Linked DNA regions of Drosophila melanogaster. The protein of the gene in region 1 binds, or shares a complex with, the protein of each later gene. Each region holds a gene or a part of one and is shown on either strand. Other genes may lie near its edges.

Region 1 (9,158 bases):
CACCCGCGTACTCATTCTCGGGAAAATCGCTGTCCAGCGAGCTCAGCGAGTCGCCCAGTTGATACAGCGGATATGGGGCCCGTTGTTGCTGTTGCTGCTGTTGTGGGGCGTAGATAAACTTTGGATACACGGGTATCACGTCCTCTGGCTGGTCCTCGAGCGAGTAACTGCGTCCGTAGACGGTGCCCGGCGGATGACGTAGGCGGCGGAGATTAGCTGGCCGCTGGTAGAAGAGCGGCGGCTCCTGCTGATAGATTGGCCTCATGGCAACGGGGATGCATTGCCCGCAGCACGGATCGCAGATAGTTCCTGGCCGCTAGAACGCCGAGCAGAGACTGCCGTAGCTCGGCGTCTAACGCTCAGGCGAGAGGTCTATTAATAAACCCACGATCGGGTCTAGAGAGAACCAGCAACAGAGGAGCACTCAATGTTTACACGTAGGAATGCGCCGCAGTTCCGAATGTTGCGACAGAGGCGTTCAAGAAAATAGCACCTCAGTATCAAGATATTTGAATCTTTAATTTGGAAAGGATACTTTAGCGAGTAATGGGAGAAATCGCCTCGATTTAATTCCTTAGATGTAAGAACTATATATCTTGACTATGATGTTAGTTATTGATTTGAACCGATTACTAATTTCATTATCAAAAGTAAAGTCTAGTTCGAAGTTAAGATGTATTGACATAATGGAAAATGCTAACGGAGGTATTGTGTGCTTGAACAAATGAGGTGCTAGCTACTTGGCCGCGACTGTGCCACACTATGGGCAAGCGTCGAGTTGCGATCTATAAATATTGACAACAATAGCGGAGTCACAGAGAGTCGCCGGGTCGCCGACAGGCTATATCCACATGTTCTGCACCCAAATCGGGCGAGGCGAGTGCGTCGGCCTCGGGAACACAGAGACGCAGAAGCTTGGAAAGTTGCAACTCCAAATTAGGAGTTCAATCGAGGGTTACACACACAGGCCGCGCACACTCGCGCACAAGTGAACGGTACTTTGCGACAGCTGATTAATAAACAAACAATCCGGCAATCAGCGAATCGAGGAACCACGGAAATGTATAAAACTTAGAAATCAGAAGCGTGACGCCCACACAATTAGGAAACGACGACGGGCTTCGTAGGTGCTTTTCTCGCTTTCGAAGGCCGAGCTTGAAAAGTTAGTTTTGTTTTTTTTTGGGGGTCAGCAGCTGTAGCGCTCTCACTCGCACTCACACTCACTTGCGGTGGCTATGAAGTCGGGATTTGCTATAGTAGTAATCGGTTATTACTCACATTATAAGCCGCGAAAACAGGCTGCTGATCATCTTGAGCGTCGCCTGGCTGCTCTAGGGGAAAACTGTAGGGTATTTAATTAGAGTCCACTCCGTTATCCTGGCCTCCTTTCCAACCCCAATTTTCACCTGGAATTTCCTTGACTTTTCCGTAAATTATGTGATTTGGGGTACTTTATGGGCAATATCGAAATAAAATCCACAGATTTCTGTTTAAGTCGATTTAAATTTCATTTACTTTTTGGTAACTGCGATTGAATTCGAAGGATTTCGAGATTAATTGGCTACGCAATTTTTAGCACCGTGTTGCGTCGCCTGTGGATAATTGCGAATCGCCAGCTCGACCTCTACTACATGGCTTTGTGCAATCACAGTCGAAACAGCCGATGCTTTGTGCCCTGCTTTGCAAATGCATTCGCATTGCCCGCGAACAAATCGCTTTTGTTTAATTCTCAGCAAACAAAAAGAAACGCTTGTAGGACAGAGACAGACGAACAACAACAAGGCTGCTGCGCTAGCGATGTGCTGAAATTTTCGTTCTCGCACATACTGTCCAAAACAAAATACCGTCTGAAAAAATACCAACAAAGTGCAATTGCCATATGGTCAACCGCTAAGACAAGATTGGTGAATACTTAATTCAAGCTAAGTTGGTTTCTTTTAGTTAACAAGTTCATCAGTTAGTTATAGGAGAAAACTATTTTTATATAAGATTTTATCCCATTTTCTTTTTAAAGGAACATCTATGAAATTTAAATCAGATTGTATTGTATATGTTGTTGGATTTTTTGGTGGTGAGTTTTTGTGGTGAGTTTCCTGAAAGTGACCGTACTGCAAGTGGCGCGCTTTTTGCTTGCCAACGTTTCCAACGATCTCAACTTGCAGCCACACCATCGACTCGATTGGGAAATCGACAAGCCGCAAAAAATTTGGCGAAATAGGAGCGAAAACAGACAAAAATGGCGCAGAATGCACCAGACTGCGAGGACACGCAGGTAAGCACAATTGCATAGCACTGAGATGTCAAACATTCCATTGGTTTTGGTCGCAGGACTTTCAATTCAAACTGCACCACAAGATTGTTGCGTTCAAAAAATGCGGTGAGCCCCGCAGCAATGTGAACCTGCTGGCGGTCTCCAGTAGCCGGGGATTGCTCTTTGCCGGGAGTCCAACGCAGCCGGAACTCAAAGGTAATGTAGCTTGAGTTAGCTAGGCTAAATATATAAATTTATCCTGGCACTCCTTGCAGTGATTATTGTAAAGGATTTGGTCAATGCGAAGAGCACAGCCCAACAGCCGCAGGCGCGTCTGGTGCCACTGCCCAGTATTCCGAATTACATTGCCTGCAGCTCCGATGGCAACCTGCTGGCCGTGAATCACACCCAGAACGGCACCAGCCTGCTCAGCATATATGCGGTGCTATCGTTCATGACCCCTGATGTACGTCCTGTTTATAATATTCGCCTCGCCGCCGAGGATCACGTGCACGGCGTCCAGCTCCTCTGGAATCCCGTGCTGCCCAACAGCCTGGCCGTTGTTTTGAGCAACGGAGCGCTCGCGATGTATGCCCTGAAGGAGGGGGGAAACTTTGAAATGCACTCGCTGGACAAAAATCAACAAGTTAAGTGCGGCTGCTGGTCGCCCAAGGGCAAACAGATCGTTCTTGGTTTTCCCGGCGGCACGGTGAAGCAGTTCAAGCCGGATCTGACTCTGGCCAAGACGCTTTTGTGTCCTCCGAATATACATGATGCCCCCTTTGACACCATTGCTATACAGTGGCTGTCGACTTTCCAGTTTGCAGTGATCTTTCTCCAGCATGGCGAGGACTGTAGCCCCTCGCTTTACATTCTAAATGCTCCCAAGGCTGGTGCGCCCAGCTACATAAACTACTATGACATCTGCTATAGCATGAACGGCCCGAGGAATCATCAGTTCGTATTTAGCCATGTGCCCCAGTGGAATCTGCTGCTCGTAGTCTCGGCCAATGGCGTAGAGGTGGGCATCATGCGGTCAACCGAGGCCGGCGATACACCCGCTTGGCAGCAGCTTACATTGCTGGATGAGGCACGCATTGAAATGCCCCTAAGTGAGGACAAGGATGAGACCTTCCCGCTGGGCTTTGCCTTCGACACTTCTACAACGCACCAGCTGACGATAAATGAGAAGAAGCTGCAGACTATGCCCATGGTTCATGTTTTGAGTTCGGATGGAGAATTGCTCTCGTTCAACTTTCTTAATGTGCTGCCGACGGCGGTGTCTGTTTGTTCGCCACCTCCTCCAGTGGCCGATACTTCTGGGCAGTTCAAGCCGTTGAATATGCTGCTTGCTAGTGAGGAAGAAGAGCAGCCAGCTTGGGCAGCCAGTCCCTCCAAGGCTCCAGCTGCAACTCCTGCTGCTTCCTCGGACATATCCTTTGCATTTACACCGAATACCGTTACTTCAACCCCAGCTCCCTCGAAGGATAAGCAACCATCATTGTTTTCTGGCTTTGGAGCAGCTGCAGCTAAGGCACCTGCTCCGCAACTATCTTTTGGTACTGCTCCGACTTCTAGTCCGGTTTCGTTTGGTGCTCCAACTACCAATGCAGCCAAGCCAACAACACCGTTTGGTGGGTTTGGCACGCAGGCAACGACTACTGCCATGGGAAGCATGTTTTCGGCTTCAGGAGCAAATGCCTTTGGGGGAATGGCATTGAATAAACCGGCTATTGCCAGTGTGACACCCCGAACAGCGGCACCTGGGTCAACAGTACCCGCAACTCCTGCTTCTGCTCCAGCAAACAAACCACTGTACACGGTTCCTTTAACATTCACACCAGTGGACACAAAACCAGCCACTTCAGCTCCTCCACAAATCGCAGATGAAAGTCTTAAGCCTGATGACACTGAGCCTATTATCAAGGACATGATTGCCCTACAAATCGAAGCCTTTAGCAAGGATATCCAAAAGCAAAAGGAACAGACGAAGGAACTCCTCAAAGGCGTAAGTAGTGTTGGTATTACACTGCTTCATGTATTAAAGTTGTTATTCCGCAGATTGCAGCACCATCTGCTTTGAGGGCATACGCAAAGAGACTGGATGACCTCCAAGAGCTCAATGAACAAGCCAAGGATGTGGAGTTCGAGTTAGATGTACAGGGATTGCGACAGGGTCTTAATGAGGCCTATGCCATCGTAGCAGAGTGCCGCGGGAAACTGGAGATTTATAGAAAACCAGAGTGGGTAAAGGACTCTTTGAATATATAAGCTATTTAAAACCCGTAATTTTCGTTTAGGATTACGCGTTTAATGAACTCAAGCTCCTGTGATCCCTCTGGCCGTCGCATGCTAGCTCGTCTTCAGAGCTACGTGGCTGCCAATGAGGCCCAGCTGCGTCTTGCCCAGCAGCATGTCGATTTGCAGTGGGAACAGTTTCAGGATGTTGTGCGGCGCAATTCGAAGTCTCGCATGCACATGCCTTGCCTAGAGGGAATCTATCAACGACTGACAAGACTACAAAATCTAACTTCTAACCAGCGAATTGTACAGAACAACATCAAGTCCAAACTGAAGGAGCGCGGATTGCTTCAGGCCGCACTGCTCGACCAGGAGAAAAGTCGCACCCGCACCAACGAAGCGTTAGTAGAAGTTATTGTGACCTCTCTCTTTATGCGACTATAACTTTTTTATTTAGAGTGGATACATTGACCGACTCCATTCTCACGATGAGTCTTAGCCAGGTAGTGGACTCTAATGCAGCCAAGCTCACTCGAGAAAGACTACAAAAAATCCGTAATATTGTTCAGCTGCAGAAGATCAATGTTATTTGTCCCCAGCGACCAGATCGAGTGGGGCTCAAGTCGGAGGTTATTTTGGAAACGAAACGTAGGGCGGAGCAAATTAAAAGGGCAGCAGCCAAGCCTGCAACAGCCAACAAATACACCCAAGCAGCAGTCGCTCCGCCTTCACCACCAGATGTTGCACCCACGCCAGCTGTTGCACCCATGCCACAAGCAACTGTTACAGTGGCTCCTCCGCTGCCTAAACCAATGCCATCTATACCGTCCGTTGTGGAAAAGCCTGGAGTGCCCACACATCCGACAACTCCAGTGGCTACGCCATTTTCCTTCAGCCAAAGCATCCCATTTGTGAAGACATCTACTGTGACGCCAACGACAAATACTGTGACTCCTGGCGAAGCAGCCAAGCCGGGTTTATCCATTTTCGGCGGCAGTACTATTTCCAGCTTTAGTTTTGGTGGTGGTGCTGCCAAGTCGGCACTCTCATTCGGAACAGGATCGCCAGCCGTGGCAGCTCCTACACCAAAACCAAACCCGTTGTCAGCGGTCGAAAAACCAACACCCGAGCCGACTAAGCCCAAAGAGCAGAAAGCAGCAGAAAGCAAAGAATTCAAGGCGGTACAACCCGAAACAGAAGAGTCAAAAGTACCCCAAAAACCAAAGGCAGAGACGGAAAACAAATCCTTTGGATTTGGAGGATTTACAGGAACTGGAGGTACTGTCGGAAATACTTCCAGCTCCCCGTTCAGCTTTGGCGGACTGGGTTCATCTCTAGGCTTCGGAGGAACAGCCGCTGCTGTGCCAAAATCTGAACCTTCCAGCACAGCAACCACTAGTGTAGCCACATCAGCTTCAACTGCACCATTTGGCATCTTCTCAGCAGCTTTGGCGAAACCATCCAACTCTGAACCGATCACCACGGTCACTAGCAACACAACCACCATCACCAGCAAGCCTACGAATGTAATTGCTTCGAGCAGCGTAACTGATGCTCCTTCCGTCACCACAACAAATGCAGTGACCAGCAGCACGGATCCTATTGGAGGCCTCTTTAGCTCTGTGACTATCTGCAAGCCCAACACTCCTGCAGGTAAGCTATAGTTTCCTTTATCAATATACCTTACGCATAAATGTATACGCTTATTTGGCATAAACTCTAAACGGCTATATATGTCTTTTACTTTGCAGATACCACCAAACCAGCCAACATTTTTGGAGGAGGTTTATCCGCTGGTAGCTTTTCATTTGGCGGAACGATTGATGCCTCAAAGGGATTATTCGGCAGTACCAAACCAGTGGCAACAGCTCCCACAAGTGTGACGGAGGCGAACAACAAAACTGATCCTATTTCAACCACCCCATCAGCCATTTCGACTACTACTGCTACGACGACTGTGTCTAGTCCAGCAGTAGTTCCTGCGGCAGTTACCGCAGCAGTTCCGGCAACATCGAGCACAACGGTAACATCTAGCACTGCTGTTCCCGGCAGTGCGTTCTCCTTCTCAAACGCATTTAGCACCCTAAGTGCGGGAGGTGCTGCAGCTCCAACTACCAGCGCTTCAGCTCCCTTAGCTGCCAAAAGCCCAACCGCTACATCTACAGGCAATAACTCGTCGAATTCAGTGTTTGGTGGTGGCTTCGCAGTAGCAACATCAACAGCGGCTCCAGTGGCTAGTCCCTTTCAGTCAGCTGCAAAAAGTCCAGTTTCGAGTGCAAACATTTTTGGCAGTATACCTAAGGCGGAGACCAGCGTTTTCGGAGGAGCTACAACTGCTCCTTCAAACACCACGGCTGCGGCAACACCAGATGCACCACCAGCGGGTCTCTTTGCATCGGCCGCGATTAGTAACCCTTCGCCGTTTGGTAGTCCCACGACTAGAGCACCAGCCTCTGGCGGTAACATTTTTGGTCAGGCTGTTAAGCCAAGTGTCTTTGGACAACCAGCACAAGCAGGCGATAGCGGAGGATCTATTTTTGGTGGCGGATCCGCCAGTACACCTTTTGGATCCAGCTCAATTTTTGGAGGAGGTAATACGCAGGGCGCAGTCGGCGCTCCGGCTGCAGGAAGTACTTCAATTTTTGGCCAAAAAGTGTTTGGTCAATCATCAGCGGCTGCACCGGCAGCAGGTGGGAATATATTCTCCAATCCCGTCGGCAGTCCGCAAGCTTCTCCTTTTGGTGGCGGAGGAAACTCTATTTTCGGATCACCAGCAACAGCTCCGCCCGCATCTGGCGGATCGATCTTTGGGGGTGGCAGCAGCTCTGGTGGATTTGGCTCCTTCACGCAGACGACACCAGCTCAGGGGGGCTTCGGTGGTGGATTTGGCCAGGGCGGGGGTGGATCTGTGGCCCAGACAGGTTTTGGCTCACCACAAGCCCCGCAGCAGCAAACTACGACACCAGGTGGGTTTGGAGCCAAGCCCGTTTTCGGTGGATCCCCGGCCTTTGGAGCTAGCCCCACTTTTGGGGGAGGTGCCACCTTTGGCAGTCCGAAGGGTTTCGGTGGATTTGGCGGTGCCAGCCCAGTAGCCTCCCCTCCACCCTTTGGTGCTGCTGCAAAGCCGGCACAGGGAAACATTTTTGAAACGTTGGGGGGACAGGAATCGGGACTCTCTTTCGGAAATCTAGCACAGACTGGAAACTCAAATGCACAGAAACCAGCGTTTGGCGGGTAAGTTCGACCGACATACATACATATGCATACTTATATAAGTATTTCCAAGAATGCATACGACTAACGAAATATTAAATTTTACTATTTCAGATCGAGCTTTATGAATTATCGTTGAGTTCATAATAAATGTGTTGCATAACTCAATAGTTTTGCTTGTTCAGTTTTCATGAAATAAGAATACCAGTTAAAATTAAAAATCTTAAATCTTAAATCTTTATTAAAATTAAAAAAAAAAAAACTGTGTTTTTACTTCACGCGAAATGTGTGTACTGAACTTTATTTAGTATTTATAGTCTAGTATGATAAGGGTTTCTTTTTTTATGAAATACTTGCTATGGTATTATGCTCATGCTAAGGTTATCACCTATTTCATTCGAACATCTCATGAGATGCAGACACGTCTGGCTTGGATTCCCGTCATTTTTTGGTTCCTCAAAGATGTGGGTGCTTCAATCTTCTTGGACCAGATCTGTGGAATCAATATCGCACTCAAAATCACCGGCGGGCATAATGCAGCATTTCAAAATTCTGTCTGGATGGCAGCTGTACACAATCGGACACATTTTATCTGCGGTGGCACGCTGATTCATAAGCGTTTGTATATTTCAACGGAACGAGATTAATTAATAATACAAATATTGCTTTCTTAGGATTCGTTTTGACAGCTGCGCATTGCATAGTTGACCAAGACGTCCAGTGAGTATAATTTGATTTACTTTGAAGTGAAGATGATTCTCATTCCGATATTAACAGATCAGTGAGTTTGGGTGCCTACAACAAGAGTGATCCTGCAGATCGGAAAGACGTCATAACAGCAGTAGTGCATAGTTCGTTTGACGTTCGTGCTTCCTATGAAAATGACATTGGCCTGCTAAAGCTGTCCAGCGACGTTATCTTTAATGGCAAGTGATTGATTTGTTCGTCCCCCCAGAAAGTGTTACAAACCATACCTTACTATTTCCAGCCCTTATTCGTCCAATCTGCATCGTTTTGAACAAGAGTATGGCCAACCATATGCGCAACATGCGGACCTTTAAAGCCTTTGGATGGGGAACATTACGCGGCAACAAGACATCCGATATACTTCAGACAATCATCCTTAATCATTTGGATCGTGAAGAGTGCTATATGGAATTGTCTGTTTATCCCAGTGAGAAGCAGATATGCGCTGGTGTACCTTCCGGAGACACCTGTGGGGGCGATTCTGGTGGTCCCCTGACAAACGATGTGTTTATTCAAGGTATCGGCAATCGGGAAGTTCAGTTCGGGATCATCAGCGTTGGCAAAACATCCTGCGATGGACAGGGAGTGTATACCGATTTGATGAGCTTTGCGGACTGGATTAAGATGACAATAGAGAGGTTATCTATCGAGGATGAACCACAGTCTGCACCCTTCTACAAAATTATACCCCAGCAGCAAGATGTTT
Region 2 (6,220 bases), on another chromosome or scaffold:
TTCGTGTTAACAATAACTATTATCGTCTTCGATCTGCGATAATAAGTATGTATTTTTGACTGCTGCAATGCACTTTTTATTTTGCACACACATATATGCACTTGATTAAATTGGGCGATCGTTTCTTTAACTTATTTTTTTCTCGAATTTTTCGGATTTTTTCCTATTACTATTTTGTATGCAGCTACTTTTTTTTAACGCTATGCTCGTCTGCCTGCAGCAGCTTTTTGTTGTTCTTGTTGCTGTTGTTGTTACGACCGCATCATCATCATCGTCGTCGCTTTCCAGCTATCGCCATCCTTGTTGCTCCTTTCGCGTGCACAGTGCGCTTGTTGTTGCTGTATTGTTGGTTGTTAGGCAGCTGCAACAAAAGTTGGTCTAGGGCGGCATGGGTGCGAGCGAGATGGCTGCGTGCCTGGAAAAAGGATCGGGATCGCTTTCCAGTATGTACTTGTAGTCGCTCTCGCGCGCTCTCCCTCTCTGTCGCTCTCTGGAAACTGGAACTCTCTTTTGCTATTTACTTAGCATATTTCACCGTAAGGCATCGTTGTTATTGTTTGTTTTGTTGTGTTTGTGTGATTCATACACGCGCGCATTAAAAAAAACGAGTTACAACAACGGCAACCATAATAACAAGAACAACAAACAGCGGGCCAAGATCATTTATTTACTTCTTTTTTTAACGTTCTTCGCTCTCGCTCGCAAACTTGGCATTTGTTTTGGTCAAATTATTATATATTATGCGCTGTAGATTGCATGGTTTTAAATTTACGGTTCGATCATCGTTTTTATATCTTTTCTGTTACTCTCTTTTAACGTTGCTTTTGTCGTGTTTTTCGTTTTCGGTTATCTCCTTTTTCGCCCGTTGGCGTCGCTTCTTTCTTGTTGTTTATCACTTTCAACTATTCATATTTCGATTGCAAGTGGAATAGTATCGTTGACCGCCACTCTTATTAACGAACTATTTGAACTCAAAAAAATGCAAAAAAAATCCACGAGCAGCGCGTTGATTACTGCGCTTCGAGTTCGAATTCGCCCTGGCGAGCAACAACAAATGACCAAAATTCTGGGGATGGCAGGCTCATCGATACTATCGGAACAGCAGCTTGGCTTCTTCGCGGTATTTGGTTATACTTTACTGGGCGGTCACACTACTGCTCGTTATCTCCCGCTTATTTTAAAATCAGGGATTGGGCTAAATGCCATCTAATTCTGCAATAAGTTTTATTGAATTTGCATTGCTTTATATAAGTCAGCCTATTAAATAGAGATATTGATTAAGAGGTAATTAATCGTCTTAAAATATTAAAGTGTAAAGATGAAAATATTTCTTATGTAAGCTATGTATAAATATAAAATACTAGGAACAACCAATTTCGATAGGATTAATTGTATAGTCCTAAGAACGACAGATAGTGTTATCAAGATCGAGGAGTTTGAATCGAGAGCTTAAAAGAGAATAAAAAGAACTTAAAAAGATTGCTACACCTATATATATATTCATATATATATAAGATAATATAAGAAGATGTTCGATTTCATTCAACAGTTTAAGGAACGCCCCAAGCATTTCCTAATTTCCTAAGAATATATGTTTACCAACTCCTGTTAACATTTTATTTATTAGGCAAATACATTCATCTCGAATGTAAAACATTAAAATTTTCAATTAAACCTGAACGATATTGTGTGGGTGGGATAGCCATTGCGGTATTTTTTTCGCGCCATTTTCAGATTTGCGTTATCGATTACCGGCAATCGCTTGACGGCAATATTGTAACAACAAAGCACACATTCGCTCTCATTCAGCTAAAAAAGAAACTAAAAACCTTAAACTATATTCGATCGATGGCAGAACCCCGTCCCGGCGGCTACAACTACAAGACATTATTGTGAGTAAAAGTTCGTTCATCAAAGGCAGAGCGATGTCAACTATAGTTCCATACGAATCCCCAGATGCAGAAACATTCCGGAGCTATTTTTGGACAAATATGTGGCGCGTTCGCACTTTGGACGTTTTGGAACCCTCGTAAACTTCGTCCTGCGTCCGCGGCGAATGACCTGCACCGTAAGCTATGCCAGCGAGGACGAGGCGGCGCGGGCGCTTCTCGATGGCGCCAGCTTTCAGGGTCACCTGTTTGATATATCCTATGCTGATAACGAGACGGCGCCGGCACAGAAAACGGAGGAGTGGGTGGATCCTGACATTCAGGCGGAGTTGAGTGCACTGCAGTCGGGCTGGCGCAATGAGTATGGGTCGGGCAAGCCGATAAAAAAACCACAAAATGGCAGCAGTGGTAGCGGTGGCAGTTCAATGCTGCCTGCCATACCAGTTGGGCCCGCAACGGCGCCGGTGAGCAGAGATCGTACGCCTGCCCAGCTCAGGGATCTTGAGAACATGATGCGCAGACCCGCCCATACAAGCGAGGAGAAGTTCAGCGTGCTGGATGCCCGCGATAAGCTGCTCCGGTTGAACCGAACGCAACACAAGCTGTCCGGTGCCACCCAGGGTCACTGCGCCGATATGTGTCCGGAAAAGGAGCGCGTGCTGAGAGAATTCCAGCGCCAGGTAGCCTACTATGAACTACAACCGGGCTCCGATGAGCTAATCTGTCACGAAAGAGCCCTGAAGCAGTACTCGCGCAGCAGTGCCGACCAGGAGACGCCACTGCCGCATGAACTGCGCAATGAGACTGCCCTGCACATGACCATGAGCTATCTAATGCATGAGATCATGGACATTAGCGAGCGCCAGGATCCGCAAAGCCATATGGGCGATTGGTTCCACTTCGTTTGGGATCGCACGAGGTCCATCCGAAAGGAGATCACCCAGCAGGAGCTATGCTCTCTGGGCGCTGTGAAGCTGGTGGAGCAGTGCGCCCGGTTTCACATTCATTGCGCCGCCCGTCTGGTTGACGCCGATCCCAGCGTCTTTGACAGCAAGATCAACGCCGAGAATCTAACCAAATGCCTGCAGACTCTGAAGTACATGTACCATGACCTGCGGATTAAGGGCGTTCCATGTCCCAAAGAGGCGGAATTCCGGGGCTACATTGTGTTGCTCAATCTGGCCGATGCCAACTTTCTCTGGGACATCGGTCAGCTGCCCGCGGAACTGCAGAGTTGTCCCGAAGTGCGTCAAGCCATTCAGTTCTACTTGGCCCTGCAGGACACGAATTTTGTGCGGTTCTTTCAGCTGCTGGCTGACAAGGATACCAGCTACCTGAGTGCCTGCATCCTAGTCAATTACTTTACGCGACTGCGCGTGCTGGGGTTGCATCGTCTGATCCAGGCGTATAGGTCTCCGCGGAAGGATGAGGTGTCTTCGCTGCCTCTCAGCTACATCGCCGAGCTGCTGAGCTTTGCCAGCGAACAGGAGGCGGCGGATTTTGTCCAACACTATGGCCTGCAGATCAACGAGGCGGGCAGAGTTGTGCTAAGCAGAATGCACACGGTGGAGACGGAGTACAAGCTGCCGCGACAGTATGAGGTAAGTAAATGGTTTTCTTTTTTTTGTTTTATTAATTTGATTTTTATTATCCACTTCCAGTTGGTGGAAGTGAAACGCGTGAAGAGCGTGGGCGAAGTCGTCAGTGGGGAACCTTTACCACCACGAGACCTCTACCTCAATCACCGACCGCACAATAGCTTCGACGATTATGGAATGCTTAAGAGCATTGCATGGACGGCCAAGGATCAGCTGGCTGGCATGCAGCAAGAGGAGATGCAGCCACAAATGCCTTCGCAGCCACCAGCAGTCTCAAAACATAGCGATACTTTGTTTAAGGTGCCCATGCAACCCGACGGAACGGCAGCAGGGTTTGGAGTATTTGCTGCGGCTGCTGTTCCGCCAGCCTCCTCCATCGATGGATTCAGTTTTGTTCTTCCCAAATCACGTGCTCAGGAGTTCCAGGAACAAGCTCCGGCTACACAGCAGCGACGGGCACAAGAAGAGGCCAAGCATCAGGCCCTCCAAGTAGCCATTGCCGCTGCAAAGAAGCGGGAAGCTGAGCTAATGGCTATTCACGAGGCCAAAGTGGCCGAGGCTGAGCGAGTGCGTCAGCAGAAACTCAGGGAACGCCAGGAGCAGCAGCGTCGCCAGCAGCAGGAACTGGAGGAACAACGCCAGCGGGAGCAGGAGAAACTTCAGCTGGAAAAAGAGAGGCAACTGAAACTGGAACAGTTGTTTTTTGTGCAGCAGCAGGAAAGGGAGGCCCACAAACAGACCAGGACTTTGGAGTTGTATCAGGAAATATTCCAGGACACCCTCGCGGAGATTTGCCAAAGCGAGTTTATGTCGCATAGTCGGGCTTGCCGTTCCTACGAATCCATGCTGGACTCAATAACACGCGATCTCGTCGAGCGGCAGATGGAGCAATCCATCTACGAACTAGGCGTCATGAGGGTGTGCATCAGACGATGGCGGAAATATCGGCGAACGCAACAGGAGAAGGACACGCTATTTAACCAACTGCCTTTAAGTTTTGGAGCCGAAAACCCCGAAGGAGTGGTGAACAAACGAAGCATGGAAGATTCACTGCGTCTAAGCAGACGCTATCGACTTGGCGAGCCCTGCGATTATGGCAAACTTCTGGCTGGCCTGGAGGAGCATAGTTGGCTGAAACTGGATCTGTGGCACGTTTTGGACAAGTGTCTGCCGGTAGCGCAACCAGGAGCTAGACGCTTCTACAAGCTATTGATAAGCCTGTCCGGCGGCCAGGAGGGTCTCCAGTTGAACTGCGATTTGGATAGGGGACTACTGCAGCAGCCACAGTCGCCGGATGCTCGTTTTGTGGATGGAGGCTACATCAGAGGCTTCTCTCAGGGTATTGGCTTGAGTGTGATGAAGATCCGAGATGATGACCACGACTGGAAAGCCACCGACCTGGCCGAAGCCAATGGTATTATTTGCTTAATCGGGCTGGATGACATTCGTTTACTGCCGGATCGCTTGAAACCATTGCTGCAAGCAAGCCGCTGTCATGATGTGGCTGTAATTGTTCAGCATCCAGCTAATACCGCCTTTGTTCAACCTGATATTCCTCTCCAGGAACTATGTCTGCGCTCATTTAACATCTTTCGTTTGCGAAAATCTGGAAACAACCGCCAGCGCTTAATGATTGCACTGGAATCGGCTGTAAAGTTTTTGGCCAAAGCCACGGAAAGGAAACGTGTTGGACATCTTCACCAAGTGGAGACCCGCGAGTATTTGCTCGTTAATCTGGGATCGGAACTATTTCGCCGCCTAAAATACGCCGCTGAGCACGATACGGCCATTAGAAGCGACACTCAGCTGAATCCACAGCGTTGTGTGGACCTTTTTAACGAGGCAGTGCACCGCCTGCAATTGGTAGCCGGCGAGGATTTAAGCGACTGGCCCCAGTTTCCCGAGGAGCTGCGTGTCTTTGTGCAGCCACTGCCCATCGAATCATCACTAAACACCAATCGCTTGGAGCACTTTGAACCCGGTTGGCACTTGCCCGAGCGACGTCAGCGTATTGTCCAGCTTTTGGAGCGCTGTAAACTTCCAAAGATGCCGGTACTGCCGAGGTCTTCATCCCTGGCCGAAGCCCAATGCCAGTGGGTGTTGGACTACGCGCAGATAAGTCAGCAGGAAGACTGCGTGGAACAGATCGCCCTCCAGGCCATTAAAATTCTGCAATACGACACGGATGACTACTTGAACTTTGTGGAATATCTCGCTGGCGAACGAATGCAATACATACTGCGGCAAGAGAGGAATCCGCCCCAAGGAATTGTGTACAATACGAAAACGCTGAAGAGACGCTTCCTGAGCGCATGGTACTATGAGTTTCGTGAGCCTCAGATTTACGAGCCCGTTCCCGCCGAAGAGAATGCCCAGATGCTGGAGAAGCAGCCATCATCACAAGCGGAGGTGCAACAACTGGATTTCGACGAGATTACGAGCAAGGCTGAGGCTGTTCTGAAGAGGTTTCACCAGCGTCAGGATGAGCGTCACACCCTGCGCGAGCTCAACAGGTCACATAAGTCGAGGAAGAGGAGAGACGCATCGGACCACAAACATGCCAGTAAGCACAAGCGCAAGCGGTCCAAATCCAAGTAGTCACGTTCTGCTGTAGTTATTCTCTTATTTGTATCATATAAATGTTAAGTGTAGTTTTAATATATGTGGTTAAGCATTATATTGTCAATTGTAACATGAGACAACGCTAGATCTTAAACTGCATCTAGATTAGGT
Region 3 (9,153 bases), on another chromosome or scaffold:
AGCATATGCGGCACAGTGGGGCAATTAGAATAACTAAGTGGACGTTTTGGATTAAAACAATTATTACTAAGCTGATCAAATTATGCTAGTTTATACTAGTTACCTAAATATATGGTTTTGTTAATTGTAAATTTGAAAAGCCTTTTTGATGGAAGTTAATTAGCTTTTATGAGTAAACATCCCTTCATTTTGTGGCTATTCGCTTGGTTTACTTTTATATATATTTCAGGTAAATTTCAGGAATCATCCCACTGTGCATGGAGGTGAGTGAGCAGGGAGATGCAGCATTCTCATCCAAAGGAGTGAGTGGGAACAGCATACGAAAAATATGTATGTATGCACCAGATCTTTTATATGCGAGTGACTACCGCTATGCAGGAGGCCGAGGACTTAACTTTAACTCGCTCACTCACTCGCACTTCAACGGAATTCAATTCAGCTGAGTGCCACCCACAAGCACAGGCACACATCGATAAACGATAACTCGAATGGGGCCCATAAAGTGATAAAGCGATTACTCAATGGCTATTGCCTTCGAGAAACTACAATATTTCGAAAATAATACGCAAAATGGATGAGCTGCCAAGCAAATCTTTTGGCTTAAAAAATTTTTACAAAATGTGGGGCAACCGGCTGTTTGCTTAGAATTTGAAAATTGAAGCAAACAAAAGGTATGCAAACAGAATGGAAAACAGCGATAAGACAAGAATACATCAAACTGCTATTGATAAGGAGTTTCTTTTGAATTTCGTATATGCTGTAAGTCGTTTTCGCATTACAAAGGCCAAATTCGCTACTCAATGCCAACGACTAACTTATCTGCCGCCCCATATTCCAAATATTATCGCGCTTAATTACATTATACCACCAACCACCGCTCACCACCCACTACCCCCGTCCACCTGGCCACGCCCCAATGGTACTATCAGATACTCGTACTCGCAGCGATTTCGACAGCTAGTAAACGCGCAAACACAAAAAAGGGCAGAGGCAGAGGCAAACGTGTGTAAATAACAAGTGCAAACACACCGGCAAGCTCCATTCGAGTGTTAACGAACGAGATTCCCAGTTCCACTCGATCTACCTGGGACTAGAGGTACCTGTACTTTATGTACCTGTCGTATCTATTGATCAGCGGTGAAAAGGTCAACAAAACGAGATCCATAAAAAATTCACACGCATTCGAAGCGGGTCGCGATTAGATATTTCATGGTCACTGCCATTGAATTGGGATTTGTCTCACAGTGTACACAGAAAATAAACATTTCTACTGTCAGCTTGATGCAGCTTGCCTTGGGTTTACAAAGACCAGGTTTCAAATCCCACACCCGTAAATACGTAAAAGTTGTAGTACTAATGTTGTAGTACTTCAGATTTAAGTTTATGTAAAATTACATTAATTGTATAAAATTTCTTTATGTGTACCAGGCCTTTTTTCTGGCAGTGTGTTGCAGTTGCACGTGAGAGACAGAGACAGTATGAAAAGCGAGAGAGACAATAGAAAACAGGTTTTAGTTTCAAGAGCAAATCTCAGAATTTTATGCTAGTGTTGACTGAGCAGGATGAAATGAAATGAAAAACGAAACAACACAGTGAGAGCGGGAAAGGGAGGATCAACAGCAGCCGAGTGAGCGTGTGCAAGCGAGAAGGTGCAACAAGTTTTACCGTAGCAACGCAGCAGGAGGCACACACATGCGGTGAAATAAGAGAGAGAGTTAGAGAGAGAGGTGGGGGTGGAGATGAGGTGTGCTCTGGAAAAGAGCGCCCAACAGTTCATAAAGTTTTCCTTTATTGTTGTTTACAAAGCACTTTGTTTAAACATTCCTGCCTAGCCATATTCTACCTAATTTATCGGCTTAATAGCCGCATTGCCAACTTACCAATGCCGAATTCTGCCTGCTTGGCATTGCAGTCGCTCCACACACTCATCTTGAAGGCTTTTCTTCTCGTTGTTGTTGCTTCTACTAGTGTTGTTGCTGATATTGTTGTTTTTGCGCCGACTTTTACCACCAACACGGCGACAAACGATCGCTACTCACACATGCAAAGCGATGGACTTTCGTTTGCGAAAATAAAAACAACAAGACATTAAATTAGGCAACGGCAAAAGAGCAACACGTAGTTGAAATTTTGATTTCGTTTTCACAATGCCGCCAACACAAGCATTTCGCCTCCGATTTCGCTACAGATTTCGACGAAAAGCACACCGGTTGGACAATTGCAACCAATAAATAATTATTGCACAAAAGCTAGCATTCCGCACAAATTGTCGCTCCGCAAATGCATTTTGCGCCGTTTTTCGCTCGTTTTGTTCTCGACTTGTATTTGGGCTGGGAGTTGGCCGCTGCCGCTCAGCTAATTATCACATGTACACGCACTCGATCGCACACACACTCGTGTGTGACAGTTGCCAATTAATTAAATAACCGCTCTCGGAAAACAACCCGCGCGTTTCAACTGTTTGTTGTGAATGAGCGTGCTCGATGCCCAGAAGTACCGTACTGTTCCCAATCGAAAATATCAAATATAGAGTGCCCCTTACAGCGTGTTCACACCGTTGATGTCAAATGGGTTTTCACTTTGTTCGCAGTACGGTCACATAAAAATGTGAAAATCGAGCTTACCTACAAAATACGAGAAACCCAAGTTATAAAATACATTTTCCACACATTCATAGTAAATTTGCTTCGGAGGCACCAAGCAAAAATTTTATTAAGACCATAAATAAGTTATGGTCAATAGTTATGCGCCTGGCAGTTGTATCCTGCTTTTTTACAGTGTATTTTTGCATGCGATTTCACGCCTTGGTCACACTTTTGGCTGCATTTTCTTCAACATCGTGAAAAAATCGGCGCGCCATTTCTGTCCACTTTTTGCGTCAGACTCGGTCGACTCCTGCTGACTTGACAAATTCGCGAGTGTTTATTTGTTTTAAGCTAAGCCTGTCCGGTCCCACAACCTTCGCATCCGGCGCAGCCGCCCCAGCTTGCCCAACGTGGTGAAATCGAAGCATTGCTCATCGCGATAGTTGGCATTCCGGCGAAGGACAAAGCAGGGGATCTACCTAGTATATGTTTGTTATCTGAGCAGCAGCAGCGAGCAAAATGTTTGGCGGCGCGAAACCCAGCTTCGGAGCCACTCCGGCGGCCACCAGCTTTGGCGGATTCAGCGGCACCACAACAACCACTCCGTTTGGCCAGTCGGCATTTGGCAAACCCGCCGCACCGGCCTTTGGAAACACCTCCACCTTTGCCGCCCAACCCGCGCAGCAGTCACTGTTCGGTGCGGCAGCCACACCAGCTCAGCCCGCCGGAGGCTTATTCGGGGCAAACACGTCCACGGGATTTGGAAGCACTGCCACAGCTCAGCCCACGGCTTTTGGAGGTTAGACACGATCATTTGAAGTGGTATCATGTTACTAATTTAGTAATTTCTTCTTTGCAGCCTTCTCGCAGCCGCAACAGACCTCGAACATATTTGGATCCACCCAGACGGCGGCAAGCACCTCCCTCTTTGGACAATCGACGCTACCCGCCTTTGGAGCCGCCAAGCCGACTATGACGGCCTTTGGGCAAACAGCTGCTGCTCAGCCCACGGGCTCTTTGTTTGGCCAACCGGCTGCCGCCACCAGTACAACAGGATTCGGAGGCTTTGGGACGTCGGCGCCTACAACCACCAATGTTTTTGGCAGTGGCACCGCCTCCGCCTTTGCCCAACCTCAGGCTACGGCCGTGGGAGCTTCCGGAGTCAATACGGGCACGGCCGTGGCCAAGTACCAGCCAACCATTGGTACAGATACCCTGATGAAGAGCGGTCAGGCAAATAGTGTGAACACTAAGCAGCACTGCATCACGGCTATGAAGGAGTTCGAGGGCAAATCTCTGGAGGAGCTCCGCCTGGAAGACTATATGTGCGGGCGCAAGGGTCCACAGGCTGGGAATGCTCCGGGAGCTTTTGGATTTGGAGCTCAGGTTACTCAGCCCGCTCAGCCTGCAAGTGGTGGCCTGTTTGGAAGCACTGCCCAACCAAGCACAGGTCTGTTTGGCCAAACTGTGACCGAGAATAAGAGCATGTTTGGCACCACCGCTTTTGGCCAACAACCGGCGACTAACAATGCATTCGGAGCAGCAACCCAGCAAAACAACTTTCTGCAAAAGCCCTTTGGAGCCACCACCACCACTCCGTTTGCCGCTCCCGCAGCTGACGCTTCAAATCCATTTGGGGCGAAGCCTGCTTTTGGACAGGGAGGAAGCCTCTTTGGTCAGGCACCTGCTACCAGTGCGGCTCCTGCTTTCGGACAGACTAACACAGGATTCGGAGGCTTTGGAACCACAGCCGGAGCAACGCAACAGTCAACTCTTTTTGGTGCCACACCAGCCGCCGATCCAAATAAATCAGCCTTTGGGTTGGGAACGGCTGCATCAGCAGCCACGACAGGTTTTGGATTTGGAGCTCCAGCAACAAGCACCGCCGGCGGAGGCCTTTTCGGAAACAAGCCCGCCACTAGCTTTGCTGCTCCAACTTTCGGCGCAACCTCCACGGCTAGCACTCCGTTTTCAAATTTTGGCCTGAACACCAGTACAGCAGCAACGGGAGGAGGCCTTTTTAACTCGGGATTGAACAAGCCAGCAACGTCCGGATTCGGAGGTTTTGGAGCCACCAGCGCAGCACCACTTAATTTCAACGCAGGCAACACGGGCGGATCACTTTTCGGAAATACAGCCAAGCCGGGAGGAGGTCTTTTTGGAGGAGGTACTACAACCTTGGGTGGCACGGGTGCTGCCCCAACGGGAGGACTGTTTGGAGGAGGAACTACCAGTTTCGGAGGTGTCGGTGGTTCCTTGGGCGGAGGAGGCTTCGGTATGGGTACAAACAACTCGTTAACTGGTGGTATTATGGGAGCTCAGCCCACACTGGGTATCATGACGCCTTCACACCAGCCCATTCATCAGCAGATCCTAGCTAGGGTAACTTCTCCCTACGGAGACTCTCCGATTTTCAAGGATCTAAAGCTAAGCAGTGAAGCAGATGCAACAAGAGCTACAAATCCTGCTGCCCAACAAGCAGTTCTGGACCTGACCAGCAACCAGTACAAGATAAGTACCAGCAACAATCCTGCTCCAATGAAGGTAAAGGCGCTGGGCAGCACACTTAATAGAAAATCGCTGTTTGATGGTCTCGAGGAGTTTGATGCTTCTGTAGAGGGCTTCAATCTGAAGCCCAGTGCTAAACGATTAGTTATCAAACCCAAAGTAAAAAGTGTAGAGGGTGGAAATCCCTCTAGCTCTATTGGCAGTGCTCCCAACACGCCCCAATCTCGACCCAAAGGCGCAACTCCCAACAAAGAACGCGAGTCGTTTAGCGGAGCCATTCCAAGTGAGCCGCTACCACCAGCTGGAAACTCGCCTGGAGCAACGAATGGACGGGAAAGTCAGGATAACGGCCGCCGTGAGTCATGGCTGCATCCTAACAACCTTGAGAAGGTACGCCAGCACAACATTCAGACTGGAATGGATCAGGGATCGCCCCATAACAGCACCCTCAACGAGCTTGTGCCACGTAAACCTTTAGATACATACCGACCATCCTCCACCGTTCGCCTCTCGGTGTCAACCATCCCAGAGAATCCATTTGAGGATCAATCCAGCACCATTGCACGTCGCGAAACCTTCACTTCGCAGCAGGCCAATGAGAGTGTGCTTTCGAACAGATCTAATGAGGCAGAGGACTCTGCAGCAAACCAATCCCGCCTAGCCATTGAGGCAGCTGCTGCAGAGGCAGCAGACGACGAATCACATCCAACAGGCATTGTGCTGCGACGCGTGGGTTACTATACAATTCCATCGCTAGACGACCTACGCTCCTATCTGGCCGAGGACGGATCCTGTGTGGTTCCGAACTTTACGGTGGGTCGGGAAGGATACGGCAATGTCTTCTTCGGCAAGGAAATGGATGTGGCTGGCCTGAACCTCGATGAGATTGGTAAGAGTCTTGTGTTTTTTTATAACCGTTTGTGTTTGCTCTCATACATTTATTTAATGCAAAACAATTTGTATCACAGTCCACTTTCGCAACAAGGAGATTATCATTTATCCCGACGACGAAAACAAGCCGCCCATTGGTCAAGGTCTAAACCGTGACGCCCAGGTCACTTTGGACCAAGTATGGCCGTTGGACAAGACCAAGCACGAAGCCATCAAGGACCCACAACGCTTGCTTGAGATGGACTGGGAGGGCAAGTTGCGCCGGGTGTGCGATAAAAACGATACGCGCTTTATAGAATACCGCCCGGAAACGGGTAGTTGGGTCTTCCGCGTCAAGCACTTTTCTAAATATGGCCTGGGAGACAGCGACGAAGAGGACGAGTTGCCCACTGACCCGAAAAAAGCCAAAATTGCAACGCTTGAGGCTCAGCAGCGGGCAAACGCAGAAAAGATGACGCTCAATTCGCTGCGCCAAGCGCAGAAGATTTCAGAAGATGCAGCCCGTAACTTGGACCCAAAAGCCTTGGTCGCAGGTGTTGCCAGCGGATTCAGGCCAATGGATGATACCGCCGAGTTCCTTTTAATGGACAAAACACGTACGTCTAAAGTCCATTTTAAAAGGTTTAGTTTCATTAATTGTAATTTACTTAATTTTAATTCGCAGAATTTTTCCAAGCTGGTGGCAACTCCGATTTCTCCATGTTTGATCCACCGCGTCAACGTCCAACGATTACCAGTCCCACAGCTGTTTTGGCTCAGGAAATGGTAGGCAACGAGGCGCACAAAATGCAGCTAATGAAGTCATCCTTCTTTGTGGAGGACAATGCTCCCGAGGACGAACCCATGGGTAGGTGGATAATCTCTTGATGGTCTTTCAAATTGCTTACAGTAAAAGATATGTAGATGTTTAAATGTTAATCGTTAGTTTTGAGCAAATATGTATTGTTAATTATCAACGATATTTAATGATTTTTGATCGTTGCAAAAAGTATTATATATATATATTTATGTTTAAAAAGGTAGCACAAATTATAAAGTTAATAAAGCTTTCAAATGTGTTAGTAAATCCAATTCATTTTGCCTGCTTTGGCAACAATTCATTATAATTACAACAATTCACTGCTTATCATCCCACACGGCCACTATACATTTGAAAATTACTCATAAATTTCTACAGAGACTACGGGGCGTCTTCTTCGTCATCGCAAGTTTTTCAACGTGGAACCTCTTGTTTGGAAAGATGGTGCCTCCGAGAGTTCCAGTCAGTACGATTTTGAACACCCATCGCCCGCTCTGCCGATTTCTTCCTCCGTCTCTGAGGCCAGCCTGATGTGTGATGCACATTATGAGGAGGTATATCGACGTAACCTTTTACTTTGAAGCCCAATAAACATCCTGATCAATTTCAGACATCGTCGATGGCAACTGGAAGCATTGTTGCAGCTGTAAAAGAAACGAAGTTTGAAATGCCTGTCACTAAAGCCTTCAAGTTTGTCTGTAAGCCCAAAGTGGCTCCGATTAAGTTGCGTGCCACCACGGTTCCCCTACCCAGGTCCATCGCTTATGAGATGCGCGATAATTGGATCGCCGATTTGGGATTCTACAAAGGACGCAGCTTTAAGCTCAGTTTTGGTCCACAAAACTCATTGGTACTGCCAAGCACCTATAATAACATGCAAAACCTAAAAGAATGTAAGAATATCTGAAACAAGCTGTAGCAGTCCAATTATAATAATTTCCCTTTGCTTCAGTTACTGGACCATCCCTGCCCGTCTCCATGGTATTTGCGCCGCGCTCGGCCACCGATTTGTCGCCCAGTGTAATGCAGTTGGTGGAGTTTAACATGGTCAAAGGCAACGAGGGTTTTCGAGAAAGTATCATTCCCCATCTCGAAGTTCAGCTTAACGACTGCCTCTCAGTTAATGTGGAGGGTAGTGAGTGCCCGTGTATACATCCCGATAGCGGTACGAAACTAGTTTCCAAGCACTTCTCCGAGTCTCTTAAGCAGAGAAATGCTGGCTTAAAAGAGGACTATAGCGTGTCAGTGTGGTCGCTTTTATTCGCACTATGGGGCGATCACGATGAACTGGTGGACCTGGAAAAGAACTCTCATTACATGGTCATGTGTCGGCGCAATCTGCTATCCGAGTGGCTTGAGAACACGCTGCTGGGCAAAGATCTACTCTCGAAAAAAGTTAGCACCCACAGCTACCTGGAGCACATGTTGGATTTACTTAGCTGCCATCGCGTAAATGAGGCTTGTGAGCTGGCCTTCAGCTACGATGATGCTAATCTGGCTCTTGTGCTGTCCCAATTAAGTTCCGGAGCTGTCTTCCGGCTATTAATGGAGGAGCAGCTCTTTGCCTGGCAGCAGAGCAAGTCGGATAAGTATATCGATCTGGAGCGCCTTAAGATGTACATGCTGGCCGCCGGAGCGCCAATGATGCAGTCTTCACATGGGGCCATCAACTTACTCGAGAATAAAAACTGGCTGACAGCACTGGCCCTGCAGCTATGGTATTTCACAGCCCCAACATCGTCTATCACCGATGCACTCAATGCTTATAACGACGCCTTCCAAGCGGAAGAGTGCTATGCGGAGCCCCCAAAGCCCAGCTACAGGGACGCACCTACTGACACCAAGAAGCCCGTCTACGATTTGCGCTACCACTTGCTCCAGTTACACTCTAAACGTATGCATTCCCTGGAAGAAACTCTCAATCCTATAACGCATACCGCCGATGCCATGGACTTTCGTTTGAGGTGAGCTAAAAGAATTTTTTGGTACAGTGCAAAATAAATCATATCAAATCATTTTAGCTGGCTGCTCTTGCAAACTCTGCGAGCTCTTGGCTACCGTCACTGTTCGCCCTTAACGGAGGCTCGTCTTTCGGTGGATTTCGCTAGCCAGTTGGAGAACGAAGGCCTCTGGCAGTGGGGTATCTTTGTTCTTTTGCATATTAAGCAGCAGACCCAGAGGGAACGTGCAGTTCAGCAAATGCTACAGAGGAATGTCAGCGTTTCCGCCAAGGTGGCTCTATATGCGGAAGAGCGCTTTATCGTCGAAGAGCTTGGTATTCCGATGTCGTGGGTGGACTATGCGAAGGCGGTAAAGGCGGGAGCGTCAGGAAAGCATCACCTTCAAGCCAAATATCTGCTAAAGGCAAAA
Region 4 (6,574 bases), on another chromosome or scaffold:
GTACGCCTGCTGGCTGTACGACTTGCCGCATATGGGACACGGGTAGGGCTTCTCGCCCGCATGGATCTTCATGTGAACACTCAGACTGGAGGCCTGTGTGAAGCACTTGTCGCATAGCTTGCACTGGAACGGCTTTTCGCCGGTATGGATGCGCATGTGGATGTTCAGGCTACCCGACTGCGTGAACGAGCGGTCGCACAGCGAGCAGGTGAATGGCTTCTCGCCCATGTGGTTCTTCATGTGCTGTACCAGCTCCGAGCTGGCGCGGAAGGCCTCGCGGCAGATGGCGCACTGGTACACCAGCTCCTGCGTATGCATGCGCATGTGCTCGTCGAGCAGCGCCTCCGCCTTGAATTCGCGCTCGCACTCCGGACAGATGAACGTCTCCGTGGGCGCGATGTGCGTCTTCTGGTGCAGCAGCAGCGAGCTGTAGTTGATGAATCCCTTGTCGCACTGCACACACTGATGCGGCTTGCGCACCGAATGCGAGCGCATGTGCACCATCAGGCTGCTGGACTGCGTGAAGGCCTTCGGGCAGAGCTCGCACTTGTACGGCTTCTCGCCGCTGTGGATGCGGATGTGCGTGTTCAGGCTGCCGATGTGCGTGAATGTCTTCTGGCAGATGGAGCACTGGAACGGCTTGTTGGTGATGTGCGAGCGCACGTGCTTGGACAGATCGCCGGCGTTGGGAAAGCTCGCCTCGCAGTGCGTGCACTGGAAGCATTTCTGGTTGCCATTCAACGCTGGATCCATCACGGGTGCACCGATGTTGCTCCGCCTTCCGCGCCGCCGCTTGATGGGCGTCGATTGCAGGCCCAATCCCGGGCTAACAGTGGGTGCCGGTGGTAGTAGCTGCTGCAAGGGCGTGACGCTTACGGTCGGCTGCACCATGAATATGGAGGTGGACTCCCGCGGATCTGTCATCTGCAGCTGGAACTCATTGTAGCCCGGACCGGCAACCAGGCCGTGAAGTGGCTGCACTGACTCCTGGCTCTGCTGGGTATTGGAGTTGCTGGTGGTCGGCACCGAGCTGCTTGATGAGCTCGAGTTGCTGGAACTCGAACTGGAGCTGCTGCTGTCGTCGTCGTCATCGTCATCGTCGTCGTCCGACGACGAGGAGCTGTCGGAGCCCGAGGAGGCGCTCCCATCCGACGAGTCGCTGCCATCCTCCGCCAGCTCGCACACCGGCTCGAATATCCAGCTGTAGTCCTCGCTCTCGTCGCCCGGGCTCTCCTGCTCTTGCTGTCCATTGCCCGGCTCATGGGGGTGCAGGGTGTTCATGTGCTGGTACAGCGCCAGCGGATGGACGAAGAACTCCGCACAGCACATGCAGTGGAAGGTGAGATCCGGCGGCTGTGGCTGCTGCGGTTGCTGCTGGGGTGGATTGGGTGCCTGTTGCGGCAGGAGGTGCGTCTGCTGCAGGATTGGCGTGATCGTCAGGGGCAGGTGGTGGTAGCTCTGTTTCAGCTGCACGGCCATCTTGCCAAAAGGCTGTGCAAATCAAACAACAAAAATCACAAGGAACACAAGCGACGAGCGTGTGAACATTTTCTCTATAATAAAAATGCGCGTTTGCGGGGAGAAAAATCAATGCCGTACCTTGGGTGAGATTAGATGCGAAGTGCCGTGGATCAGGGGTTCCGTAGACTACTATTATATCACTGGTGTGTGCTGTTGCTCAGGTTCCGTGCTTTTGTGTTTCTCTCAGGGCTCTCGTCCACATTCGTCCACTGCGTTCCATTTTATGCGCCGCCAGCGAAATGCGAATAACTTGCTTCCTGTTTTCGGTGCTCGCTTGTTTTTGAATTTGGCTGCTCGGTTCCGTGGGTCGCCGGAATCGCGTACCGTCCTCCGACCCGTTGTCTGGTTAGCTGCGACTGCCAGGAGCTGCGACTCGAGCGAATGCAGCGCATCGCCCAATCGCAATTCTGCAGAGCCAAAATCGCAATTGCAAGCGTCTTCGCCGTGCGTACAACAAATAAAAGAAAAATGTTTTATGTTGGGCGGCCCTTGCACGATTGGACGGCAGCATATCGTCATGCAAGCGTTTCGTGCACGTCGCCAGCATGATGACCGATAAACCGCGCAGCTTCAAATTCAAACCGCAATCGATTGTTACATCTTTCGAAGGTTTTAAACATTTAATAATATTTAATTTAATTTCGAGTGCCTAAATCTAAGCAAGTTTTATTATTAGTGTTTAATTTCACTTAACAAGTTGCTAAAATTATTGAATTGAGCCCTAACATCTTAAATAATATTAATATTAAATATAAACTGCTCATCTCGTTCCCCTTGGATTTTCTTTCTTGCCAAACTACAGGCTAGTCAGACTAACAAGTTGGAAAATCCAGAAAGCAAGCAACGTGGATCGTTCCTTTTCAAGTAAATACGAAAAAGGCTACCAAAATGGAAATGGATTACTATCTGCCAGTGTATAACGGATCAAATTCGGTGGACGTGCCGGGGCTGATTGAAAGTCTCAAGCTGAAGGAAACCAGTATATCGCCAATCGTGCTGGATCGCTATCCGCCGTACTCCCCGTTCTATGGCGTGATGGGCGTCGTATTCTCCAGTGTGCTGACCTCCGCTGGAGCGGCCTACGGAACTGCTGTTTCCGGAACTGGAATCGCCGCCACAGCGGTGATGCGTCCCGAGCTGGTGATGAAGTCCATCATTCCGGTGGTCATGGCGGGCATCATTGCCATATACGGTCTGGTGGTATCCGTGCTCCTATCTGGGGAACTAGCGCCTGCTCCCAAATACTCGCTGCCCACCGGCTATGTACACCTGGCCGCTGGACTTTCGGTGGGATTTGCTGGACTGGCTGCCGGATATGCAGTGGGTGAAGTCGGCGAAGTGGGCGTGCGGCACATTGCCCTGCAGCCACGCCTCTTTATCGGCATGATCCTGATCCTTATTTTCGCCGAGGTGCTCGGTCTCTACGGCCTGATCATTGGGATTTATTTGTACACGGTCAACATTAAGTAGCAGAATTTGTTATATCTAAAATATTTAATTCGTTAAGAAACGTTTTTATCGATCTTTAATATTTGAAATGCCTTTTGAATTTCTTTACGCGATTGTGGTACTCATTTCAGGTACGCCGTTGCGGTACGCGATGGAGGTACCCCATACTAATGATTCTACGGAATGCTGGTACCTTATTCTTTAGCAGCTTTGCCGAATTACTAGATATGTAAACAATTTAAATCAATTTGTTTCTTACGAAATTTGCTTGAATTCAGTGAGAATCGCTTATTTACAAGTGTATGTGCAAGGGAGCTTTCTTGCTGTTCCGTCATCTGGTAACACTGAACGCTCCCGGCATTTTTAGCGAATAGCGCGTGAATTTCTGTTTTGATTAAATTAATTGAATTGATGTGCCGTAGCTGATAGCCAAGAAACGCATAGTGCAGCCATGGCCGACAGCCCGTTCCCGAGGAGCAGCCGCAGTGGCCTGCTACGCACGACGCTGAACAGCTCGATGCCGCCGCAAAATCTCTCCCACTCGCTGCTCATCCTCGAGAAGAGCAACGCGGAGCAGAATGAGCTCTCGCTGATGGAGGACACCGGCGATGATCTGGATCGGGGCAAGAGCCGCATGGACGTGCTCTTCCCGCAGTTCTTCGACGTGCTGCAGGCTCAGGGTAACGGGCAGGAGGCATTCGAGGTGATCCAATCGCTGACGCAAGTCTGTCGCGGCGTGGTGGAGCAGCTGGAGCTGGAGATCGATCACGGCATGGGTGGGGAACAGGGCGCGCGGCAACGCGAGTCTATGCTCACCTGGCTGCGACAGGAGATAAACACGTGGCGCCTGCTGCACGCCCTCTTCTACGACCGCATCCTGCTGCAGACGGACAGGCAGGCGGATGATGAGATGCAAGATGGCCCCACGCTCGGCGGCAGCGAGAAGGAGGTCATACAGCAGTTGTACGCCCTCAATGCGACGCTGCGTGAGTACCAGCTGGTGGTGGACTGGCTGGAGGCGTGCTACGACCGGGGGGAGCAACAAAACCCACTCCACGCCCACGATCGTATGATGGCGTGGGAGAACACGCTCTTCCAACTGGAGAACCTGCAGGGCGCCGCCTTTGGCAAGGGCCATAAGATCGTAACGCGTCTGGATCCAGATGCTCCCGTACGCGAGAAACGACCGTTGCACGCCCTCGACGAGGAGGACAACCTGCGCCTGTCCCGCGCCATTTTCGAATTGATACGAGCGGGACGCGTCGACGATGGCCTCAAGTTGTGCAAGCACTTCGGACAGACGTGGCGGGCGGCGATCCTTGAGGGCTGGCGTCTCCACGAGGATCCCAACTTCGAGCAGAATGTCTCGGTGCTGCACGAAAAGCTGCCCATCGAGGGCAATCCCAGGAGGGATATCTGGAAGCGCTGCGCGTGGATGCTGGCCGATTCCAAGAACTATGACGAGTACAGCCGCGCGACGGCGGGTGTCTTCTCCGGCCACTTGGGCTCGCTGAAAACCCTTTTGCACAGCAACTGGCACGATTTGCTCTGGGCCCATCTGAAGGTGCAGATCGACATCCGTGTGGAATCGGAGATACGCGGCTGCTGCCTCAAAAACTACCAACCGATGCCCGATGATTACTGGAACGGCAGGATGACGATGGAGCAGATCTTCGAGGAACTGAACGTTGCCAAGGATGCGTCGGTGCGGGATTTCGCCCAAAGTCAACTGGGCATTATCCAGCGTCATTTAATCCTGGATACTTGCGGCGAGCTGATCCAACACATGGTGCGCTGGGTGGAGAAGGATACCTCCCAACAATCGCCCCATCAATTGCGCTTTATGGCCCACATAGTGCTCTTCCTGCGTCAAATCGGCCGTGTGGAGCAGGAGCGACAGGCGGAGAAGATCGTAGCCGCATATGTGGAGGCATTGATTGCCAGGGGCGAACCGCAGCTAATAGCCTACTATACTGCATCGCTTTCGAATCCGCTGCAGGTTCAGCTCTACTCGCGGTTTCTGGAGCAAGTGGAGCAGAAGCGTCCGCGGGAGCTAGCTGTGGATGCCGCCCTGCAGGCGGGCTTGGATGTGGAACAGATCACACGCGTCACCGTGCAGAATATTCGCCTCGCACATCAGCCACTCGGGGAATTCGGTGAGCCGCAGTCCGGCGAGATCTCTGCAATCGATCAGCGCAAGATCTCAGCATTGGAGTGGCTAATCCATTTGCCGGAGCAGCGCGGTGAGTTGCTGTGGCAGGCCAACGCCATGATACGCACCTATCTGGCCAGCAGCAAGGTGGAGTGCATGCGCCAGACCTTCCGCATGGTGCCGGCCGACATAGTGCAGCAACTAGTCAGCTTGTACGGCTCGGTGGACAACATACCACCGCGTGAGGAGTGCTGCCTGAAGGAGTATCTCTGCTACAAGGCGTATCTGTCTGGCGTCGACAGTTTCGTCGAATGGAACCGCCTGCAGCAGAACAGGCCCAAGAAGCCACAGACTTCACACGCAGCTTCCTCGCAGGACAACTTCACGGAGCGCATGGCGAGTGAGCGCAAGGAGCAGGCTCACCGATCGGAAGTCGTGCGCTGGGAGCACAAGGTTAAGGAGCAGGCCAAGCGTAAGTGGATCGCATACCCATTAATGAGATCTTTTGGCATATAACCCGCATTCTTTCCCTGCAGAAACCATCGAACTCCTGTACAATGTGCTCATGTTCCCGGACAAGGGTTGGCTGGTGGATCCGTTCATCGCCAAGCTGCCCGAGAACGCCGTGCAGCTGAGCTGGGATCATCGCCTACTGCAGATGGAGAAATTGCGCTCCATCTGCATTCCTGAGATCGCCCTGTTTCTGAACGAAGTGATGTTCAAGTCGGGAGACTTTGCGGGTTGCGTGCGCCTGGCAGATGAAATATCCAGCGAGAATCGGCAGTTGTACAAAGTCTATACGAAGCACAAGCTGGCAGAGCTTCTGGCCAAGATCGCGGACGCCTCCCTGGAGCTGCTCAACTCGAAACTGGATCCATGGGGCTATCCTATAACAACTTAGCAATCCTAGTACATTTGTGTGTTTTGCGATTACATTCTAACTTTAAACGTTTATTATTTATTCACTGTTCAATTATACAACTAAGGAGGGGGACAAATGGGAGGTAGGTAGGATGGAGGGCTTAGGAGTTGTTGTCCACGGCGGCGGCGGAGGCGTTGTTCTCGTCGCACCCGTTGCTATGCTTTAGTAGGTAGGAGGCCAGGAACTGTATGGGATCCGTGGGCCGTTCGCGAGCCAGGGCCTGCATTCCGTGGAGCAGAACCGGCGCCACCGTCTGGTCGAGGTACTGTCGCGTGGGCATGTTGTTTGTCTCGCTACTGGGCTTCTTGGCCACCGCCGGCTGCTGTTGCTGCTGCGCCACTGGATTTGTGGACTGGCCAACGGCAATGGCTCCGGATGGAGGAGCTCCCGGCGCAGCGGTCGGGTTTGCTTGCGCATTGCTGCTTGCATTTGGCTCCTTGCCAGCTTCTGCCGGCGGATTTGTTGTGGGCGCTGGTGAGATGGGTGCGTCGGTCTTGGCCTCCATGGCAATGTGTTCCTTTTGTTCAGCA

What was found.
Region 2: Nup214 (region 1) and xmas share a complex: the UniProt entries of both Drosophila melanogaster proteins name them as parts of the nuclear pore complex.
Region 3: Nup214 (region 1) and Nup98-96 share a complex: the UniProt entries of both Drosophila melanogaster proteins name them as parts of the nuclear pore complex.
Region 4: Nup214 (region 1) and Nup107 share a complex: the UniProt entries of both Drosophila melanogaster proteins name them as parts of the nuclear pore complex.

What each region holds. Positions count from the first base shown.
Region 1 is NT_033778.4:22,917,733-22,926,890, reverse strand, and holds Nup214 (nucleoporin 214kD), read left to right. Parts: upstream 1-2,148; 5' UTR 2,149-2,236; coding exon 2,237-2,272; intron 2,273-2,328; coding exon 2,329-2,467; intron 2,468-2,526; coding exon 2,527-4,259; intron 4,260-4,312; coding exon 4,313-4,494; intron 4,495-4,551; coding exon 4,552-4,893; intron 4,894-4,949; coding exon 4,950-6,145; intron 6,146-6,243; coding exon 6,244-7,726; intron 7,727-7,819; coding exon 7,820-7,844; 3' UTR 7,845-7,954; downstream 7,955-9,158. Other genes in the region: ReepA (receptor expression enhancing protein A), read right to left, coding at 1-265; CG30187 (uncharacterized protein), read left to right, coding at 8,119-8,323, 8,380-8,425, 8,483-8,631, 8,694-9,158. UniProt on the Drosophila melanogaster protein: Part of the nuclear pore complex. Serves as a docking site in the receptor-mediated import of substrates across the nuclear pore complex including emb, RanGAP and phosphorylated Mad. Protects mbo/Nup88 from proteasomal degradation at the nuclear pore.
Region 2 is NC_004354.4:17,154,843-17,161,062, reverse strand, and holds the start of xmas (xmas), read left to right. Parts: upstream 1-1,756; 5' UTR 1,757-1,848; coding exon 1,849-1,892; intron 1,893-1,956; coding exon 1,957-3,490; intron 3,491-3,550; coding exon 3,551-6,050; coding exon of another isoform or gene 6,051-6,085; exon of another isoform or gene 6,086-6,220. UniProt on the Drosophila melanogaster protein: Involved in mRNA export and mRNA coupled transcription activation.
Region 3 is NT_033777.3:23,775,116-23,784,268, reverse strand, and holds the start of Nup98-96 (nucleoporin 98-96kD), read left to right. Parts: upstream 1-2,647; 5' UTR 2,648-3,104; coding exon 3,105-3,384; intron 3,385-3,444; coding exon 3,445-5,982; intron 5,983-6,061; coding exon 6,062-6,580; intron 6,581-6,648; coding exon 6,649-6,831; coding exon of another isoform or gene 6,832-6,851; exon of another isoform or gene 6,852-7,053; intron 7,054-7,161; coding exon 7,162-7,337; intron 7,338-7,393; coding exon 7,394-7,676; intron 7,677-7,735; coding exon 7,736-8,747; intron 8,748-8,804; coding exon 8,805-9,153. Other genes in the region: mbc (myoblast city), read right to left, coding at 1,881-1,929. UniProt on the Drosophila melanogaster protein: Part of the nuclear pore complex (NPC). Required for MAD import as part of the Nup107-160 complex and required for nuclear export of Moe probably via its association with Rae1. Plays a role in nuclear mRNA export.
Region 4 is NT_033779.5:10,732,793-10,739,366, reverse strand, and holds Nup107 (nucleoporin 107kD), read left to right. Parts: upstream 1-3,295; 5' UTR 3,296-3,421; coding exon 3,422-5,594; intron 5,595-5,658; coding exon 5,659-6,023; 3' UTR 6,024-6,074; downstream 6,075-6,574. Other genes in the region: CG12299 (uncharacterized protein), read right to left, coding at 1-1,479; Vha16-5 (vacuolar H[+] ATPase 16kD subunit 5), read left to right, coding at 2,410-2,991; Dpy-30L1 (Dpy-30-like 1), read right to left, coding at 6,145-6,549. UniProt on the Drosophila melanogaster protein: Plays a role in nuclear pore complex (NPC) assembly and maintenance. Required for nuclear import of Mad. Mediates the association between the nuclear pore complex and a subset of active chromatin regions adjacent to lamin-associated domains.